Linked DNA regions of Notamacropus eugenii. Each later gene encodes a partner of the first gene's protein in a complex. Links are inferred from orthologs where the notes say so. Each region holds a gene or a part of one and is shown on either strand. Other genes may lie near its edges. The genes, in order: PHF20 and KANSL2.

Region 1 (9,952 bases):
GGGGCCGGATCCGTGCATGAAGGAAAAAAAGGCTAGCGAAACGGAGAGTTAACAAAGCTATCGCCGAGCCCGCTTACCTGTGCGGGCTCTCAAGCAAGTGTGGTGCTCGCGTCTCGGGGAGGCGCCGCCGCTGTGGCTGCCGCCGGGGCTACTGTTAAGCCGCTGCGGCCTGGGCCCAGGCCGCGGTCCGTCCCGCCCGCCCAGCCCGAGTTTCGGGCGCTGAGGGCGGCAGGGCCGGAGCGGATCTAAAAGAGAATAATGGGATTAGAAGAGCCCGCGCGGGTGAAGCAGGGCGGCGGCTTGCGGCAAATCGGTATCCAACCGTGCGACAGTGACTGCAACTCCCTGAAATGGCGGCCGCTGCTTTCCCAGTCACACACACTCACGAACACACATATACACACACGCAAACACACACACAGACGGGGCCACACAGCGCCCCCAGCACGGGCTCTCGCGAGAAACTTCTCCGGCCACCGCGCTGACCCAATGAAGTATCGCGAGAAGTTACAGCGGCTAAGAAGCTGCTGCACAATCTCGCGCAAGAGTTGCGCCAGAGACGTGCCCCTCTCCTCCCTCCCCCGTCTCCTCCCCCTAGAAAGACAGACTCTAAATCTTCCCTCCCACCCACCCCATCCTGGGGAGGGTGAAAATCTCGCGAGAAAGGAAAGGCGCGACTAGTAGAAAGTCTGTTGGCTAGGTTGTAGTCCATCTTTTTTCGAGACCCCCCCAAGGCGAACGGTGTTTTACCGCCGCTGGGCTCCACCCAGCTTGGAGTGGGGGAGGGGTGGGACCAGGGTGGCGGGAGTTCTTTCCCCATCCGATTCCTTGCTCTCCAGATAAACTGTACGGCCAGAGCTCCGTGTGGTCTTAAGCTAAAAAGACCATTTTTTCCCCGTTAGCCAGTGAAATCCCAGTGGGGATGAGGAGCAAGGCAGGAAGACTAATGGGAAAGAAGAGCTGACGGGGGTGGGGGGGAGGGAAGGGCACGCGAGAACCGGGGCGGGGGAAGGGGGCGCGCGAGAGCCGAGAGCCGAGGGACGCGCGAGGAGGCTCTGCGCCGCTTAGCTTTGTCACTAGCTTGCGGCACCTGGCGGCGGTCCCAGTCGGGTCCCTTTCGAGGGGCCCCCTGGGGCTGGGCGGCGGCGCCGGAGAACAGCGCTCTTTCTGCTGCTCCGGCAGGAAGCTCCCCGAGCTCTTTAAACCTTTCTGCGGAAGAAGGAAGGCCTTGGCGGCTTGTGTCCACCTGTGCCCCGCCTCTCCTCCCGCTTCCTCCCCGCTGACCCCGTCCACAGATTTTCCTCTGGCCAGTCTCTAGGCAAAAACTTAAGAAAAGAACACCTCTTTACGTAGTTTTAGTTGCCAAGTAAATGTGGCTTCCCTCTTCAAAACAGACCGCCTCCTCCCAACGAGGAGGGTTTAACTGCAGTTAATATTTTGTGTGAATTCAGTGTTGGAGGAAACTGACTGGTGACTTTGTGTAAAGGTGATGCGGTTGTACTGATTTTATTGGCAATAACCCCCTTCCCTTCCTCCTCTTCCTAAGGCATCCGGCTCCTTATTGGAAATGTTACTCAGCGTTCTGGAGCAGGAGAGTGTAAAAGGAAGGAAAACAGCTTTGGCTCATTGGGTGTTTCAGACTGGATGTCAGAGATATCTCAGACTCGGTGATTCCCAAACAAAACTATCTTTCCCGGAAACCCAGATATCTTTTCCAAACTATCCATAACCTCAGCATTTTCCTCCCTCCTTCTTCATTCCAAGTATCTAATTATTGCCTGATCTTGTACCTTCTACTTCTGCAACATCTCCGAATCTGTTTGCTTCCTAAAATAGCCACCGCCCCGGTTCAGGCTCTCATCGATCACCTCGATTTGGTTATGGCGATGGCCTTTCACTAAATATTACCCCCAGTCTCTCAACCCAAACCCTCGCAGCTAGCCAGAATGATTTTCCTTGAGCACAGATCTGCAGTGTGTCATTTGACCATGTCACTGACCTACTCAAGCTTCTGTGGTTCCTTTTTATCTCTGTGATTCATATAAACTATGGCTTTTAAAAACTGCGTTTCTATGAAAAAACCAGATTGGTCTTCCTGTGCCTTACGCTTATGTCACTCCTGGTTCTTGGCCCTGGCTATTTCAAGTTTGTAATACATTCCCTTTTCCCCTTCATAGAATTCGACCCTTCCCTGTAGAATCATCTCAAGTTCTACAAAACCTTTTAAATCAACAAACTTTAAGTGCTAACTATACCCTAGGTATGCCACTAAGTACTGGAGGTGCTAAGTAAGGCAGAAATAGTCCAGGAGGCCCTGAGTTTACACAAACTGGTGAGAGAGTCATATAAATGCTTATAGTCATAACACCTACTTCATACAGAATAAGAGGTGTGGCTGAAATTGAGGGGAAGGGGATGGTGCATTTAGAGTTGGGGGGGGGCACACAGAGTATGTATCAAGAAGGCCTCCTGCAGAAGGTGATGTTCAAGCTGAATTTTGAAAGAAGCCAGCATGTCAAGAGGCAGAGGTGAGGAAGGAGATCATTCCAGGAATGGAGAGTCAGCTAGTTCCAAGGCAAGAGATGAATTATTTGAATAATAAGTTAACTCTCATACTGCCATCTACTAGTGCCAGGGTCCTCCCTCCCAAACTACTTTTGTATTTATTTTGCATTTATTCTAGGTATATCTGCATCTGTAATATGTATGTATGTGTGCATACACACATACACATGCATGTATACATACATATATACACACGTACATGTATGTGTATACATATATATACACACACACACAAATATTTTCTCCTCTGATAGTTCCATGAGAGTTGGAATTGTTTCTTTGTAGTTCACGTTGCCTATCACAGTTTCTGCCACATAACATATTTGATAAGTGCTATTTGATTGACTGTCAACTTTCTCTTTTTTTCCCCAAAATAGATGCATATAATTACAATCTAAGCAAGGACATCTGCTCACCTCATTTATTTAAATAGGGCATCTTAATTATTTATTTTACATATAATATAGGGTAAAGTTCCCTGCTCACAGTCACACAATTAGTAGTAAGTAGTAGAACTGAGTTTTGAACATGTTTTCTCTTACTCCAAATCCTGTCCTCTTTTAACTATAGATCCTTTTCTGCAATTGTGAAGAACCAAGGTGACTCAGAATTGAGCTTTATGGTACTGGATTAATGTTATCTAGAGGAAGAAACAAGTTTTCTGATTATCGAAGCCTTAGTTTATAGCACCCTTAAATCACTTCTCAGTGTACCTAGAAGACTTTGGCAATTTGGAAAAATACTACATTGATGAATGTGCCCTAAACAAAGACCAAAAAAAAGCCCCAAATCTAAGATGCTTCTTGCTTAATCCTTTGATTCTAAGTTTCAAAGGAAATAACATAAATCTAAACTTTTACTTTGTAAATCATTACTCTTTTTATATCATCTGGTATCTGTGTCTCCAGTCTGTGCTTTCTTAAAGAGGTATTCAATCATGCAGTTGGGAGGCTTTTGGGGTAAGAGGAAGAATGTGAAGGTATGTTTTGTGGTCAGCACTCTAGGCTCCTTAAAGTACAAGCAAGGGAACACATTACATTTTTAGAAACTTAGACATGGGAGATTTTACAGAGTAAACTGGATGAGGCACACAGAGTCAAAGAAAATGTGATCTTTAGGGGGAAGATGTTAAGAGTGGACTTAAGCATTTGATTACAGAGCTTGTAGGGCCTTTGGCCACTGGTTACATTAATTAGAATAGGATCTTTCCTATTTCCTCACCCTGGAGATGGCATAACCCAGTTGAGTATCTCCCATCACCCTATTTTCCCTTCTCCAGCAGTGTCCTTGCCTCTCTGTGGATGTATGGGCCCCCCCCCCCCCCCAATCTAAATTGACTGAATTTCTTAATGCTTGCTCTGGGTGCTGAAGTTGCTAGCTAGCAACTTTGAAGGAATGATAAGAGCTAGTACAGGAGAAAGTCATAGAAAAAAAGAACATTTTTATCCTGACTTTATGATAACAATGGCTCATATTACATGCAAGTCATAATAAAAAGAAACCTGATAACTATCACACAATATATTGTCAAAAACTTGTTTTTAATTAACCTTAATAAGAATCTATTGATAATGAATCTTAAGATGGCACAAATAATAACTTCTATAATATTTGTAAACATCTCATGCTATGAGAGAAAAGTATTATCACTTTCATTTTGCACAGGAAACTGAGGCCTAGGCTTATGAAGGAATTATTCATTGTTAATGTGGCTAGTGAGTGTCTTAGGGCAAAATTAGAATTCAGGTTTTCCTTACTTTAGGTCTACCTAATTACTAAGTTTAGAAAGTGGGATTTGGATTCAAGGCTCTCCCAACTCTTAAGTCCAGCACTTTTTCCACAACACCATATATGAAACCCTATAAAGCATTTCAAAGAAGAGTTCTCTCAGGGATTCTGAGCAACAAGTATGACATTCTCCGATTGTGCTTAAGATTACTGACCTTACAAAATGAGAATCCTTTAACACAGCTCCATTAAGTAGGATGTATACAAGATCAATATCAGTGGGAGAGTTAAGTACCTAGTAGAATTGATATTACAGTTGATACTGTAAGCTAGTAAGGGAGAAAAAATATCTTCAGGATACTGCTCACACTGGAGTCCTTGGAGGCAAAATTTGATAATTCTGAGGAAGCAAAAGCAAAGTAACTTGACATACCTTCTCACCTCTCAAGGAAGCCATTCCACTTTTAGATAGCTCTGATGGTTAGGAAGATTTTTTTTTCTTAAATCAAGCACATTAAGAGGAACATTTAGGTCTGATGTAGGAAAGAAATTCCTAGTAATTAACTAGAACTGTCTAAGGATGGGTTACTGGGAGGAGTAATGCATTGATTCAAGTTCTTTTAGCAAAGACTGCATGACCACTTGTTGGGTATGACATGGAGGAGATAACTGTTTAGTTTGAGTCAGAAGATAACTATCTTTAAAAAAAAAAGAGTCTCAGTAATGCAGAGTGAAGAAAGCAGAATTAGGAAAACAATATACACAATGACGACAATAATATAAACAGGAAGAACAAATGTAAATACAAAATGGCTCATATTACATACAAGTCATAATAAAAAGAAACTCGATAACTATCACACAACATATGGTCAAAACACTAATTATAGTGACCAAGCTTCTCACTAAAGAGGAAATGGGAAAATGTACTTCCTTTCCTTCTTTACAGAGGTGGAGAACTATGGGTGTGGATCATTGTATATACTGTCAGACTTGGTGAACAAATTGGTTAGTTTTACTGAAATGCTCCCTGCCCTCCTTTTCTAATTTTTGTTTCAAGAGATGACTCTCTGGATACTCATTATGGCAGGGACATATCAAAAATGAAGGAGATGCAAAAACAAGAGATCAGTTTTTAAAAAGAAGATGGATCTTGTAGAATCAATAATATTTAAGGACTTGAAAGAACCTTAGAGAACATGTTTTTCAATTCTTTTTGTTTTATTAGGAACCCAAAGCTCAGAGAGTTAAATGACTTGTCCAAAGGCTTATAAACTAAGTGATCAGGTTCTACTTAAGTATCTGAATAAAACATCCAACTTCAAATGTAACATTTTACTGTGCAGCCATTATAAGATCATTGTAAAATTAAGTTCATTGACCTAGATATCTTCCTCTGAAATTTGTATACAATTTGAATTTAATTTTCTATATTCATGCTGCTTTCCCCCACTAGTCTGTAGACTCCTTAGGGAAGAGACCATTTTGTCTTTGTATCCCTAGCCTTTGGTATCCAGTTCCTGAAATATAAGTAGTGTTAGTAAATGTTTGTTGAACTGAATTAGAAACAAAAAATAAAATTAGTTTTTTCAAGAAACAAATCTGGGTTTTAGTTCCAGTTTTGTCATTTACTAGCTGGGTGGACATGTCTAGATCAAAAAACCTCCCTGGGCTTCAGTTTCCTCCTCTATAGAGTGGGGATGAGAATGATTGGAGCTTCCTTCACAGGGTGCGAGGAAAGTTTTGCTTTGTAAGATGTAAAGGAGTGTGGAGCTTTTAATTATCTTTTTGTGCACTAACCCACATCCCCGGGCTGTGAGAACCTTCGGAAAGACTAATTGGCTCTGTTGCCTTTCCGTGACATCTCCACCACTGACTCAGTGACCTGTCAAAGTCAGGACAAACCAAGAAACTGGCAACATCTTAACATTGTATCCCCAGCTCCCTTCAGTTACACTTTCAGATGCACACTGGATCTTGTACATCAGGATGGTCCTAGACTCTCGGGTTAGCCCGGAAGCCTCCAGCTGGCCAGCTGGGCAGTCCTAAGCAGTCATGAACTTAACCTCCGAGAGCTTTCTCATTAGTGAAACAGACGGTAGAGCCAGGAACGCCTTAGCAAGGCTGCGTAAGGCTCAAACAGCATTTTGTAAAGCTGAGGGCATACACATCATGGGTCCAGTTACCTCGCGAATTTGTTATGGGGTGCAACGAGATTTAGGGCTGGAAGAACTGAGACTTAGTTGCCCGACACGGGGACAATGATTTGGTTTATCCACGACGGCGTTTCGAGGAAGGTCCACTTCACAAAGCGCTGTGAATTTAGGGTGACTTGGATGTGAGCGAGTTCTCATCTCTCCAGTCCCAGGTATCCGAATCGCGCGGTCCGATTCACGGGGCTTTGGCCACACACTTCAGAGCGCCGTGTCGTGCCCACTATTCGTGGTTTCACGGCTGGACTTGGGTTTTTTTAGGACGTCCACTTTGCACATTCTGTGGCGTCGAGTGGGACTCCGAACTGCGCTGGGAAGGAGGGTCTCCATGGCAACTCCGGGAGTCGCGGCGCGGGTTTGGGGAAGGTGAGGGACCAGGCGAGGAAAGTGAAGTGGGGGGAGAAAAGGGGGCGGGGGGCGGGGCTCCTTCGGAGGATCGGGCGCGTGGGCCGAAGGAGCTGCGTCACATAGCGGTGGCGGTGCTTGGGGTGGGGGGTAGGGAGGGGAGGAGCGGAGAGAACGAGGGGGGGAAGGCTGGGCGCGCCCCTCGCAGGTCACGTGATGCCGAGCACGCAGTCGTCTTCTGTCCGTTGGTCCTGGAGCGGCGCAGCCGGAGCGGGGCCGTGAGGTGAGCTCGCGGCCAGGATGGGAGGCCTGGCCGCCTGCGGGGTGGGGGCGGGGGGCGGGGGTGGGGGATGAGCTCTGGAACTCTGGGCCCGAGGCTCCCCTGGCTTCCCTCCGCCCAATCCCGCTGCCCACCCGCACCGCGGAGGCCAGGGCACTTCTGCCGGGAGCGTGGCGGCGTGAGAGCGGCGCCCAATCTCCGGGGCGCCGGGGGGACTGACGGCGGGCTCGGCCAATCGGCGCCGCCCCGATGGGGGCTGGTACGCGGCGCCGCGGGGAGCGGAGCGCGGGGCTGGCTGGCGGGGGGAGGGGGCCACGGCCGAGCGGGGCCACTTCCCTCCCGCATCTGTTGTGTGCAGCTTCGGCTCGGGAAGATTCCCCCCCTCCCTTGGCTCCCCTCTGCCCCTTCGCGGGCGGTGCACCCCTCTTTGCTCCAGGAGGGAATGTGCCCCCCCTTCACTCTTCTTCCCCATGGGGGAGTGCGCTCCCTTTACTTGTCTCGTGGGAGGAGTGTGCCCCCCCTTGGCTCAGTCCTTTTTCGGGCGGGGAAGTGCTTCCCCCCTTTCCTCTATTGGAGGAGTGCGGTCCCCCCCATCTCTTTCTCATAGAGGAAGTGCTTCCCCCTCTTTCCTAAGCTCTTTTCCGCACGGCGAAGTGCGCCTCCCCTTTTGCTAATCCCCTTTTCCTCCTAGAAGTGGCCCGTCTTTGCTTAGCACTTGCCCTTGGCGGGGAAATGCATCCCCGTCTGTTTCTCAGGTCTTCCCCTTTCCCCCCTCCTTTTTGGGACTACATTCCCCCCCATTCCGTGGCCCCCGCTCACAGTGATTCTGGGGAAACGCAGACAACCTCCGAGCCCCGTGATTTCCAGAGCGGAGCAGGGCCCCTTTCTGGCTTCTCCGCCCTGGTGCCCTGCTAGGTGTAGGCAGTCCAGGTTGGCCGCAGCTCCAGCCCGGGCCCCCTGCTGGGTTGAGGTAACTGCCTCTATGCTGCCCGAGGCGGTCTGGAGTCAAGGACGAGCTGCTCTCCGAGCTCAGATTCATTCGGAATTGAAACGATTGGAGTTGGGAAGAGCCACTCTTCTCCCCACCCATCTGTGGTGGGAAGCCATCCCTGCTTCCTTCACCTGGATTTTTACGAAATCTCAGATTCTCTAGCCCAGCATCTTGCATACTGGGCTCTTCTCCACGTGTCCTCTGCCCCTTCTCACCAGGAAGAAATCCCAGAAGTGCCATTTGGCGGCAGCTTGTCCAGTTTCACCCCTGGACAACTTCGGGATAACATTTCATCTTCTACATTGGAGGAATATGAAGTATTGGCTGTGACGAGATTCCTTTGCCGTTTGCTGGCCAGTTTGCCTCCACCTCCCTTTTCCCATTAAGACCCTACCTCTTCAGAGATGGTGAAAGCTTCCTGTATTTTAGTAAAATATTCCTCCAGCATTCTTAGTTTCTTCCCTTCTTTGCCTGCTTTCTCCCCAATCTTATAAGAAACTATAAAAAACTTTAAATTAACCAGTATTTTCAGAATTAATATTCTGAAATGGCATATTAATAAAATGTGGGTTATATGTGCATGTTGACCATATAACCGTAAATTATAATAAATTGAAATTTTAAATCAGATCACTTACATCATTAGGGAAGAGTGGTGTTATATTTTAGTTATTTCTGAGCCATGACTGATAAAGTATTATGTATGAAAAGTGCCTCTGGATTCTGTCTCTGACTTAAATCTGTGGATTAAGCCATTCTGTATTTCTTCTCTATTATGGGATGCTCTAGCCTTAAAGCACTTTACAAAGGCCAGTTTTTTTTGTTAGATATTAGATGGTAGAGATAAGGTAAGATAGGAGTTAGCAATTGTTTTTTCTCCTTTTCTGACTAATCCACTTCTACTTAGTTTTAGAAAAATCAGTCAAAAGTTCTCTAATAGTTTGCCATGAGTGCTGTCAAAATTGTAAAACGTCTAAATATTTCCTTTTGTATAATACAGTGACACTATATCTCAATACATTTTATTATGTTAAAGTCAGTTAATAAAATTATTCTTTGTCATAAGTTACAAAAATTTTGTGTATTTTTATTTCTCTAATAGTAAATTTTGTGGAGGCCAACATCTTGGGAATAATGAACTGTTTGGGGACTGTTTTTGATTTCTCAACATTCTTCTGTGTGGCATAGGACCATCACCCTTCCATATTTGACAGATGAACAGGCAGCACTTCCCAAGAGGGTCTTCTGAATTTGTGAGAGTTTGGCACAGAAATGAAGCCAGTTGAGAAGAAAGGGAACTAGAAAGCTCTATATTGAAGGGTATTTGATATATTAGCTTTCTAATGCTTTACAGGAAAGTGAAATTTCTTAAGAGAGACAGTGGCACCCTCCCCTGTTCATGAGAACATGGAGTTCAGAATGAGAAAGAAAAAAAACAGGGTCAGAACCTGAGAAGGCACTTTAGAGATTGTCTAGTCTAACCCATTAATTTTACTGGTGAGGAAATGGACTCAGAGAAAGAAAATAGCAATGTGGCAAGCTGTCTGTAATTCTATTGGAGAAATCTCTTAGTTCTTCCTTTTCCTACTTTCTACTATTTCCCAGTATAGTGATCCTTTGTTGAAAACAATCTTATTCCATGGTCAGATCTCTGCCAAACTGCTCTTCTGGAGCAGCTTCTCTTCTCTGGACCATTAGTTTCACATGAGGCTGAGATGAAAGCTGTAAGAATGGTGGAAACTACCTTCCTTGAGGATATGATCTTGTTTTTCTCTAACTAGTTAATGTGACCTTTGGCTTTTTACCCACTTATTCAATAGTCTTACCACT
Region 2 (9,965 bases), on another chromosome or scaffold:
AGGTTTTAGGGAAATGAGTTGTTTTAGACATGAATCTGATATGCCTCTCAGCCATTTAGAAATGTCTAGTTGCTAACACAAAGACTACAGCTCAGGAGAAACAGATATAAGAATCATCTGCAGAGAAATAATTGATCCCTAAAAAAGCTGATGAGATCACTGAAAGTATATAGAAAGAAGAAATGAGAATCCAGGACAGAGCCTTGGGGCAGCCTCACAGTTTAGGGGTAAGGCAGAGAGATAACAGCTAGATAGGGCAGGAGGAAATCCAAGAAAGAGGATAGTGCTATGGAAACCCAGAAAGTAGTGTGAATGCTGCAGCGTCATCCTGCAGCGTCAGTGCTGCAGAGATGAAGGATGAGGACTAAGAGAAGGTCCCAAGATTTGGGGTCCCAGTACGTGCATGTATGCATGTGCACAAACTCTTCTGAACTAAATTGTGAGCTTTTGGAGGGAAACACCTGTGTAATGCATCTTTGCATCCCCTACAGCAGCTAGTACAATGGTACTAATATAGTACCATTAAACGAATGAATGAGAAAAGCTCACTCAAAATATAATTTTGTAAGAAGCCTTCCTAGATTGGCTTACTTGTATTTCAGCATTTTTATCTTGCCATTCTGTACTTGCTAACATGTTACTTGGTAGTTACTCTCAAATTTTGTACCTTTTGACATATTAAGATCATAAAATCTCAGAGGGCATGAAATAGAACTTCTAATCCTTTCATATCCTACCCAAAGTGTGTGTCATTCTTCACACAATAGATACTCAAATTTTAATTAACTGTTAATTACAGGAAGAGAATTGAGAGGAAATGATCTTAAATTACACTATGAAAGGAGATTGAGAAGCAAGGATATTATTAACTCCTAATAACAATGTTTCATTGTAGTGTAGAAGTGATTCTGATTTTTCCAAAATATGTCTTTCATAGGCCAATATGCTCTTCAAGTTGGAAAATAACAGATCACATCCAACTAGCCAGTGATCCATGAAACAGAAAAAAATACTATAAAGGTCTTCAGTCCTGCAGGATTCCCTCACTCAGACATGACCCCAGTCAGGGCCTTCCATCACCTTTTGTCTGCACTACTGCAATAGCTTCCGACTGCTTATCCCTCCACCTCAAGCCTCTTCTCATTCCAACCCATCCTCCATTAAACTGCCCACGTGATATTTTTTAAAGCCCAAGTCTGATATGACCTTTTCATATCCCCCTTGCTGCTCAATGAGCCCAGTGGATCCCTATTTACCTCTGGAATCAAATATGATTGGCATGTAAAGCATCTATTTATAATCAGACTCCTTCCTATCTTTCCAGGTTTCTTTCATTAGTGTGGCCTACTTATTGTTTTTCCAAGGTAATGCTCCATCACCTACCTCTGTGCCTTTGCACTTACTGTTCCCCATGCTTAGAATACTGTCTCCTCACCTTAGCCTCTTAGTTTCCCTGGCTTCCTTTAAGACAGAGTTCAAGCCCTACTTCTTTAGGTGACCTTTCTCAGATGCTTTAGCTACTGGTCCCTTCCCTTTGGGATAACTTTCATCTACTCTGTACAGTAAATATCTCCTAGGTGCCTAGTTATTTAGATGTTGTCTTCACTAAAACGTACATTTCTGAAGGGCAGGGATTAATTTTGCCTTTCTTTGCATCCACAATATTCAGCACAATCCTTGGCACATAGAAAAACTTAATGTTTCTTGATGAACTGATGTTCAACACTGCCCTGAAATCACTGCAAAGTAACTTTAGTTAATTCATCATAAATAATCCCCACTAAAATTCATCAAACTTTTTCTGAGTCATCCAGTGACCCATTTATAACATCATTTCCATGTAACTAACTGCCCCACAACACTGTTTCATCTAACCTGGTGTTTACACAGAACATCACATTAGTTTGTTACTGCATTCTTGTAATTTTTGTGCCAAGAATACTTTTCCACCTTCTCCAACCCCCTTCTTCACCATTCCTTGATTAAAAAAAAAAAAATCACCTTAATGATATTTCCTGCTTTGAGCATACCTGTAAAATACTTCCTTTTTGTTCTTAGTAATTACAATTTCAGACAACACTCCATGCTAAGCTAAAAGTAACAGCTCTCAGAATGGGGCGGGAGCAAAGTTAAGCCTTTGCAATTAAAAAAAAATATTTTCTCAATAGAATTATGCTATGGGTGAGAATGACTGGTAAGGTAATTTTCAAGGACTAATATAAGTACAAGCCTCTGGACAATAAAGAAAAATATATGGCAATGAAGAAAAAAATCAGAAGGTTAATTTTCAAAAAGATCACTTAGCTTCACCTCATGATAGTGAAACCCTACGCAATAGCCAATGCAAATAACTAATCAAAGGAGAGACTGAATGAACTATATGGCTGAATCTATGCAAATAAATGAAGACTCAGAAAAAAGACATTTGTTTTGATACAGATGATGAGATTATCAAGATCAACAATTAAGGTATCTCGATCATAACTTCTGAAAAAAGTCTTAAAGATAATTAGCATTAGCAACATACGCAAATAAGGTACTATCTATATATATAAATATGTATGTGTATATATGTATAAATAAACATTTTGAGCACAGTACTTAATTTTACCGCAATCAGTTATGTCATTCACACTTTCCCAATACCAACCTGAGGATCATCTGGTTCAATCTTGAAGAAAAATACCTAAAAGTGTCTCAAGAACATGGCCATGCTTCTTTTACTCAGCTTGCCACCCCTATACGTTACCTACAGCCTATATATGAGGGACACTGAGTAAAAATGTAACAAGTGGATTACAAAGCCTGTACAGGAAAATAAGATAAATTCTCCAAACTAACTACAAATTCCTTACCATAAGGTGACTCACTATTTACATAACACCTTTCTGGGAAAGAGTTCAAAGCATTTCCTCACCTTATTTTCTACGAGCGTAAGAAGTGAAGGTTACCCCGGTGGTAAGACACACACAAAGACGGACAACGTTAGTCACATGGGCTCGTTATTAACAAAAGTTTGAGACACAGCAAACATTCTACCTCGCCTAATAAAACATTCAGCAGCTCCAGGGTCACTTTAGAAAAGCCAGCACCCACCGCCTTCAGCTCGCCGTCTCTACACCCCAAGGCACCACAACGGAAAAACCCCCACACCGCTCCCTCGTCAAACCCTCCCCCAAAACGAAGCCCGATCAAACAGACAAAAAGCCACAAACCCATCTTTCTTCTCGGGCTTGGGGCCGGCGTTGGGGCATCTCTTCCCATTCTTGGTGGATATGTAGCTACATTGCTTGAAAGGGGCATTCCTGTCTTCAAGGATATGCTTAATGCAAAACTCCTGCCCTTCGAGCCGGGGCTGGGAGCATGGGCGGTGTGAGAAGGAACAAGACAGCGGCTCCTGGGACCTGGGCACTGGGTTGACGCGCCCCCGATTCGATGGCAGGACGTGGATCCGAATTCTGTTCATACCAACACCTGCGGAGGGAAGAGGGGAGACACCGCACGCGGAGAGGTCAGGGTGCCCAAGCCGCCTCCGTGGCCCTTCCCCCACTCCCAGCCAAGCCCCGACATTCACAACTCAAGAAGCAGCGCTTCTCCTTTTAAGAAAAAGAACTAAGGTCAAAGCCTGTCTCACGTACCCCAAGCCGGCCTACTACGGGCCAGCCCCCGGAGTCTTGCCTGAACTACTCGAGAGCTCGGCTTCTCCCGCGGCTTCCCTTTCTCGAGGGGCCTCCACTACCACGCATGTGCGCTGGCTCGGCTGCCCGGGCCTCGCTCTCCCCAGCTCCCTTTCTTAAGAAAAAAACCAAGCCAGCTCTCGAGGATCTCGCCCGCCCTCCCCAGTCTCGCGAGGCCGGCTCCAGCACCGCGCCCTCGGGCTCCCTCCCCGCGGCTTTGCCCCGCCCCCCTGCCGAGCCCGACCCTCCCCCCACCCGGACCCCAGCCTGCCCACGGAGACTCCAGCGAACGCCATTTTGACCCAGGGATCAGGGAGTCCACAGAATCCTTTTCGAAGAGGGATGGGCCAGGTATGGGAAAAAAAGAAATTTTAAAGCCCCGTCAAAGGTCGCCGCCACCTAAGCTCAAGTCTCGGCCCCCGATGGAGCCGAAAGGAGAAAGACAAAGGTGCCGTCCGGCCACCAGAAGAGTAAACCAGCTGACGCCGCCATCTTACCTCTACGGCCTGGCTGCTAGTCCTCAAGTGGCGCCCCACCGCCCTCTAGCTCAGCTGGCCCCGCCCCCTAGCGGTCGATTGGCTCCTTGGCTGGAGGGTGCCGCCACACCATTGGCGGAATGCTCACGTCCGTCAGACCTGGGAGGGTGTTGCCCTGGGAGGAAATGGAGTGGGAGTGGGGGTGGGGGTGGCTGGAACGGATCGTTTCTCTGCCGTTAAAGCTGGTGGGAGGGTGAGCCAGAGAGGATCAAAGGTTCGCGGGCTTTTGAAGGTTCCGCGGAGCCCGCGCCGGCTATTAACTAGGTACCGGACTGCAGCAGGGACTTCCGTTGGGAGTTTCCCGAGAGGGAGGCGCTACATTGTAACTTCCCCTCGGCGCCACGTGGGCCTTAATAAAAGTTGGCCAAACGCTGTGTGTTGGCACGATCATCCACCCACCGTGACTGCAGACGGGCAGCCGCGTGCAGTGGGTAGAAACCCGGCCTGAAAGGTCGGAAGACCAGGGCGCAGGTCCCACTCCTGACATATTTGCGTGTGAGCCGAAACAAAGACGTCCAGATTCTCAGCCCTCTAGGCAGTATAAATAACCAAAAAAGAGGTTTCCCCCACAGGAATGGTCCCTGTCCATTCCGGTGCTCGGCTTGGTCCCATTATACTGCTCTGGGTCCTCAGTAAGATCCATGGGCACTCAAAAAGGCCGAGCACGCCACACAGAGAAAAAATGTAGATCAATAATGCAAATGATATTAATAATATTTCTGCAGCACAACATAATATCTCATTTGGTTTCCACGGTAACCCTGTGAAAGGAGGCACCACGACTACCTTCATTTTATGGACATCCGTGAAAGAAGCTCCTAACAGGGACCCTGGCCACCCTTTCCAGGTGAATTGGAATATTCCCCTTTCCTCCTTCCAGTCTCTCCTACCACCATCATTTAGCAGCTTTTCTTCTGAGGTTCATCCAGTCTATATCACCCAAAAGAGATTCTGGTGACTGCTGTCTTCTGACCTCCATGACACCTGGCTGCTTTCCAGGCTGCAAGCTGTTCCTTCCTCAGCTCCAGCCTCATACTAATGAACTTTGAACACATTGATATTGCCTTAAACACCCTAACCTCGAAATTCCTCTACTCATTTCCAATGACCAGTTGGTCCAGTGGCCATTTCCAATAATCATACCACCTTACCTCCACCCAGGGTTGGTCATGCCCTTCATCTTGCTATCAGGCATTCAATTTCTGTGCTTATGAGCCTGGAAATTCACTTCTCTGATTACCGTCTGTCATTCCAACTTCCCTTTGCCATCAGTTCATAACTATTCTTAATCCCATCCCTCTACTCCCTCCACCCCTCAGTTCTTTCCTAGGCCATCACCTCTAAACTGGCTACATTCCTGCACTATTTGTGAAGATCAAACAAATATAACTAAGGCGCTTTTCCCAAAAAACCTTGTTTCAGTGCTATATAAATTCAGCTAAAAATCAGGAAACATCACAACCCCTGAAAAATAAAAAGCTGTAGGTCATGTAAATGGCAATGGAGAGACTTTTGATGGGAATTAAGACACCATCCCAAAAATGCATGAACAGACAAGGAGGTGGGCTACTCTTAACAGCTGGAGAGTCTGAATGTTTCTAAGGTACACATAGGAGGTTAAAAAGGGCAAGAGGAGGGCACATTAGATTCCAATGAAAAATTTATAGGAAAATATGGACAAGATCTGCACAGGATGAAAGGACATGGAAAGGCTACAATCTGCATGATGGAGGAAGTGCCCACATTGGTAACAACATGGATCCACAGACTACACTCTTCCATTTGCCATGTATAAAGCCCTCCACAACCTGGTCCTCATGTACCTTTCCAGCCTTTTTATACATTGCCTTTTCTGCACACTGAAGCAATTCAAATAGCCCTTCCTACTATTCCTTACTGGTCGATAGCACTCCATCTCTGTGGAGCTGTCCTGGATACTGGGAATGAACTCCCTCCTCACCTCCAGGTCTTAGAATTCCAATTTTCTTCCAGCTCAGCTGAAGCTCCACCTTTTACATTTTAAGTGTGGGTTTGAAATTACTTCACCCCATTTTAGCTCTGATGCCTTAACTAGGTGAGAATACATATTAATAAATCAATCAAATCACTTCAACTAAATGTGAAAAATCATTGAAAGCTACTGGATGAAAGTGTAATAATGTCAAAAAGGAACTCAGTTCCAATAGGCTGGGGAAAATGGTTGTGCCTCAGGGATTGTCTATAAATTAGCAAGTGAGTTGAGAACATGTGGCTTTTCCAGCACACCTCTGATGAGCAAAGGCAGGAGAAGAGTGGAATATCCAGGCTGGGGGAAGTCACAAGAAAAACTCTCTTCTTTCCACAACATCATTCCCCAGTGCTTTTCTATTCATGTGACATAATTTCCTGTTTTCATTACCCAAAAGTTTCCAGTGTGCTGCATTTTGTCTCAATCACAAAGAGGTCAAGGGTTAACTAGAGATAGCTATAAATATAACATGAGGCAGAACTCCCAACATCTGCCTAAATGTTGGGAATTTTCCTAACTGGAGCCTCAGAAGGATAATAACTGAATTCATAAATTTTCCTATATTTCCTCAGGGGCCATTATATTGCTTCCTGGGCTTTAAATAAAGCTATCATTGTAACAGTGTTACAACATAAAACCAGTCAGTATCCCTTCCATCAACCTAATTAATTTGTATCTAATTTATATATACCTATATGTGTAGGGAAACATTGGCGATCAGTTGATGGTGGTGGATATGAAGTCCCTAGTACCCTAGTACCTCTTTGTATGAACCCTTGGAGTCATGGGGCTATGACTGTAACTGAAAAGGCAGTCTTTTTCCTCCATCCATCTTAAAGATAACAAGAAGCCAGAATCCCTGGAAAGGAAAGAAGTTTGTCAGGGGGTAGCCAATGATCCCAGAGCATGCTATAACAAACAAGAAAACCTTCAGCTGTGTGTGAAAGCAAGAGGGCTGCCACTGCACTTCACTCTTCTAATTCCACTCCCTCCACTGGGGCAACACAAGACTATTGTGGTTAGTTCTGGGTTTTGTTTTTTTCCACAAATTGAGCGAGATCTAGGTCTAAGGATAACATTGATATTGCAGCTGCTGCCGTAAGCAGGAGTGAAACGTGAAACTACCCAGAATCACTGCAGAAAATACTGCAGCTATCTTCATTTGAAAGGAATTACAGATGGTGGAATCCCCCTCTCCCTTCTATCTCCTGGGGAGATCCCAACATCATCTCTTTTCTTTAAGTTTATATTTATATTAAGTTTATATTAAGTTTATGTTTTAAATTTCTGTTCACCTGGTCTCTAAAGCCTTACATTAATATAAAACCAAGGTTAATCCAACACACTATGAATTTCATTTGCTCAGAACCATCCAGAGTGAAGTTATGGTCAACACAGATTGAGAGAAGGAAACTCTAAATTGCCAGAGATTTATTTGGTGGGATCTTGGAACAAAACCAAAGAGATTTTTTTTTTAAAGGCATTATTTCAATTCCTCAAAGCAGAGAAACAGATTAAGCCACATAATTTTTTTCCAGACTATCAAGGATTCCCCTGGGTACAAATGAGTTAATAGAATTAGAGGGGAAGAGTCTTTGTAAACTGAAGCTTTCTCCAGAGAAGGTTTGGGAGGGCCTTGGACAATTTTCCTTTCCTATTGGTTTCCGTTCATACAGCAGGTTCAAGGAAATACCCATCCTTGTCTCAACTTGGCAGAAGGCTAGGTTAGAGTTAAGACTGAAAGGAGACGTTGGGAGGGGGTGGGAGGTGGAGAGAGTGGAATGGCTGTATTCACTGAAAGTAAAGGAAGGTCAGATAGAGGGAGGAACTAGTTCTTTTCAGTCCTCATTCCAGCCCCCATAGCCACAAGTGAAATCTTATCTTGGGATCTTTTTTCTATTTTTAACTTTTAATTTTTTTCTCCACTTGGGCGTTTAAATATTTTATTAGTTCTTTCCACTTGCTTCTTTTAAGCAGAATTCTGTGGTATTATTGTTACTGAACATCTTATTTTTGATCATTTTTATTGTTCATTTTCATGCTCATTTCAATTTCCCTTTGTTGATTTGAAACAATTTAATTTAGCTCACTGGTTTAGCCATTATTGGGGAAAGTTGTCTGTTAGATTTTATAATTTTAACACATTCCTCCTGTACACTCTTCTTTTTGTGATATTTTCTGCATCATTTCTGTCTTGTCTTTTCTGTCACTGAATTTTTTAATTTGATTTTTGTTTTAACCTATTTCTGTATTTAGTTTTTTTGTATTGTTTTTAGTTTTTTATTCCCTTTGAACCCTCTGTGCCAATTCTTCTATCTGTTGTATGTACAATGTAAGGCTACTATTTAATAATCCTAACTGCAACATTTAGTGGTATGTAGTTGCGTGTCAGCTGGCAAATGGAAGGTTATTAATGTCGTTCCTGATAATTTGCATATTTGTCCTTTTATTCGGTGCTACATCTCAGTTGAGAAGCAGCATAGTGTAGTGGATAGAATAGTGATCCTGCCTCAGACATTTGCTGGCTGTGTAACCATAGGCACATAACCTCAGCTCCTCATCTGTAAAATGAGAGCGTTTGATTAAATGGCTTCTAAGGTCTCTTTCAGATATAAATCTATGGTCCTATGAATTCTCCAGAGCATCGCTTTGTAGAATCACTTAAGGTAGAAGACTGTATGACCGGCTTGTTTGTGGGGAGGCCTAATGGAAGGAAGGCTTGGGGATGTGGATGCTCCCTGCATTAGTGATGTGTGTCAACTTCTTTGTTACCAAGGTGGATTTGGCTTTCTGGTATCTGAATAAATATCTTGGTTTCATCTTTGAGGAAGAGAGTTATTTATATTTTGTGAATTTACGCTAGAAATATGCATGCAATATTCATAGTGGCTGCTATGGATATTGCATTGGCATTATATGACTCCACATGTATAATTGATATTGTAATGCTTGCCTTCTCATGGAGGGGAGGGGTTGGAGAGGCAGAATTTGGAACTCAAAATTTTAAAAAATGAATGTTAAATCTTAAAAATTAATAAACAATTTTAAAAGATAAAATTGCAGTTAATCCAATACATTATTGGTTGGTATGGATTTTATTTGTTAAAGAGCAGTTAAGAGGAGGAATATTTTTGATTATATTGAGAGAAAGAAGAATTCCCTGCTGGGAGTTCTAAATGAACCAAAGAGACAATTTATAAGTATTATTTTAACTTCCAAAGCAAGGAAAAGATTAAGCTACAAGAATCTACTCTGTTATAGATTCTCCTGAGCACAGATGAGTGAACTGTGTTAGGAAGGAGGGAAGTTTCTAAGGAGAAATCTTCTCTCAAAGCTCCTCTGAGGAAATAGACTTGGGCAATTTTCCTTTCCTATTATTGTTCCATTTACACAGTAGACTCGAGGAAATTCTTCCTAGCTCTGTCCCTCACCACTTCCCCACCCCACCCCCAGACTGAGGCTGGTGAACAGTACAAAAGTTGGGTATGTTAGAAACATAGTAAAGGTTAGAAACAAAAGGTATCAAGCAAAATTTATTACAGCAGAGTTCAGAGGAACTGAACACCTCTGGCCAAAAGTAGGCTCAGTCCCTCTTTAGGAAGGGAGAGCACTAAATACAGAAGTAAGATGAGCTATATACTGTTAGTTCAGGACAGATCCTCCCATCAGGAGATGGATTGGTCCATTCTCCATTAGGTCACCATCTTCTCTACATGCCTATTACATATCTCCTGGATATGTTCC

Evidence for each region.
Region 2: PHF20 (region 1) and KANSL2 share a complex: the UniProt entries of both Homo sapiens proteins name them as parts of the NSL complex. The link is inferred for Notamacropus eugenii from reciprocal best matches to the Homo sapiens genes PHF20 and KANSL2.

The regions. Positions count from the first base shown.
Region 1 is NC_092872.1:419,729,720-419,739,671, forward strand, and holds the start of PHF20 (PHD finger protein 20), read left to right. Parts: upstream 1-5,500; 5' UTR 5,501-6,661; intron 6,662-7,047; exon of another isoform or gene 7,048-7,134; intron 7,135-9,952. UniProt on the Homo sapiens protein: Methyllysine-binding protein, component of the MOF histone acetyltransferase protein complex.
Region 2 is NC_092874.1:220,435,326-220,445,290, forward strand, and holds the start of KANSL2 (KAT8 regulatory NSL complex subunit 2), read right to left. Parts: upstream 4,262-9,965; 5' UTR 4,175-4,261; intron 3,866-4,174; exon of another isoform or gene 3,639-3,865; intron 3,570-3,638; exon of another isoform or gene 3,475-3,569; 5' UTR 3,467-3,474; coding exon 3,216-3,466; intron 1-3,215. UniProt on the Homo sapiens protein: Non-catalytic component of the NSL histone acetyltransferase complex, a multiprotein complex that mediates histone H4 acetylation at 'Lys-5'- and 'Lys-8' (H4K5ac and H4K8ac) at transcription start sites and promotes transcription initiation.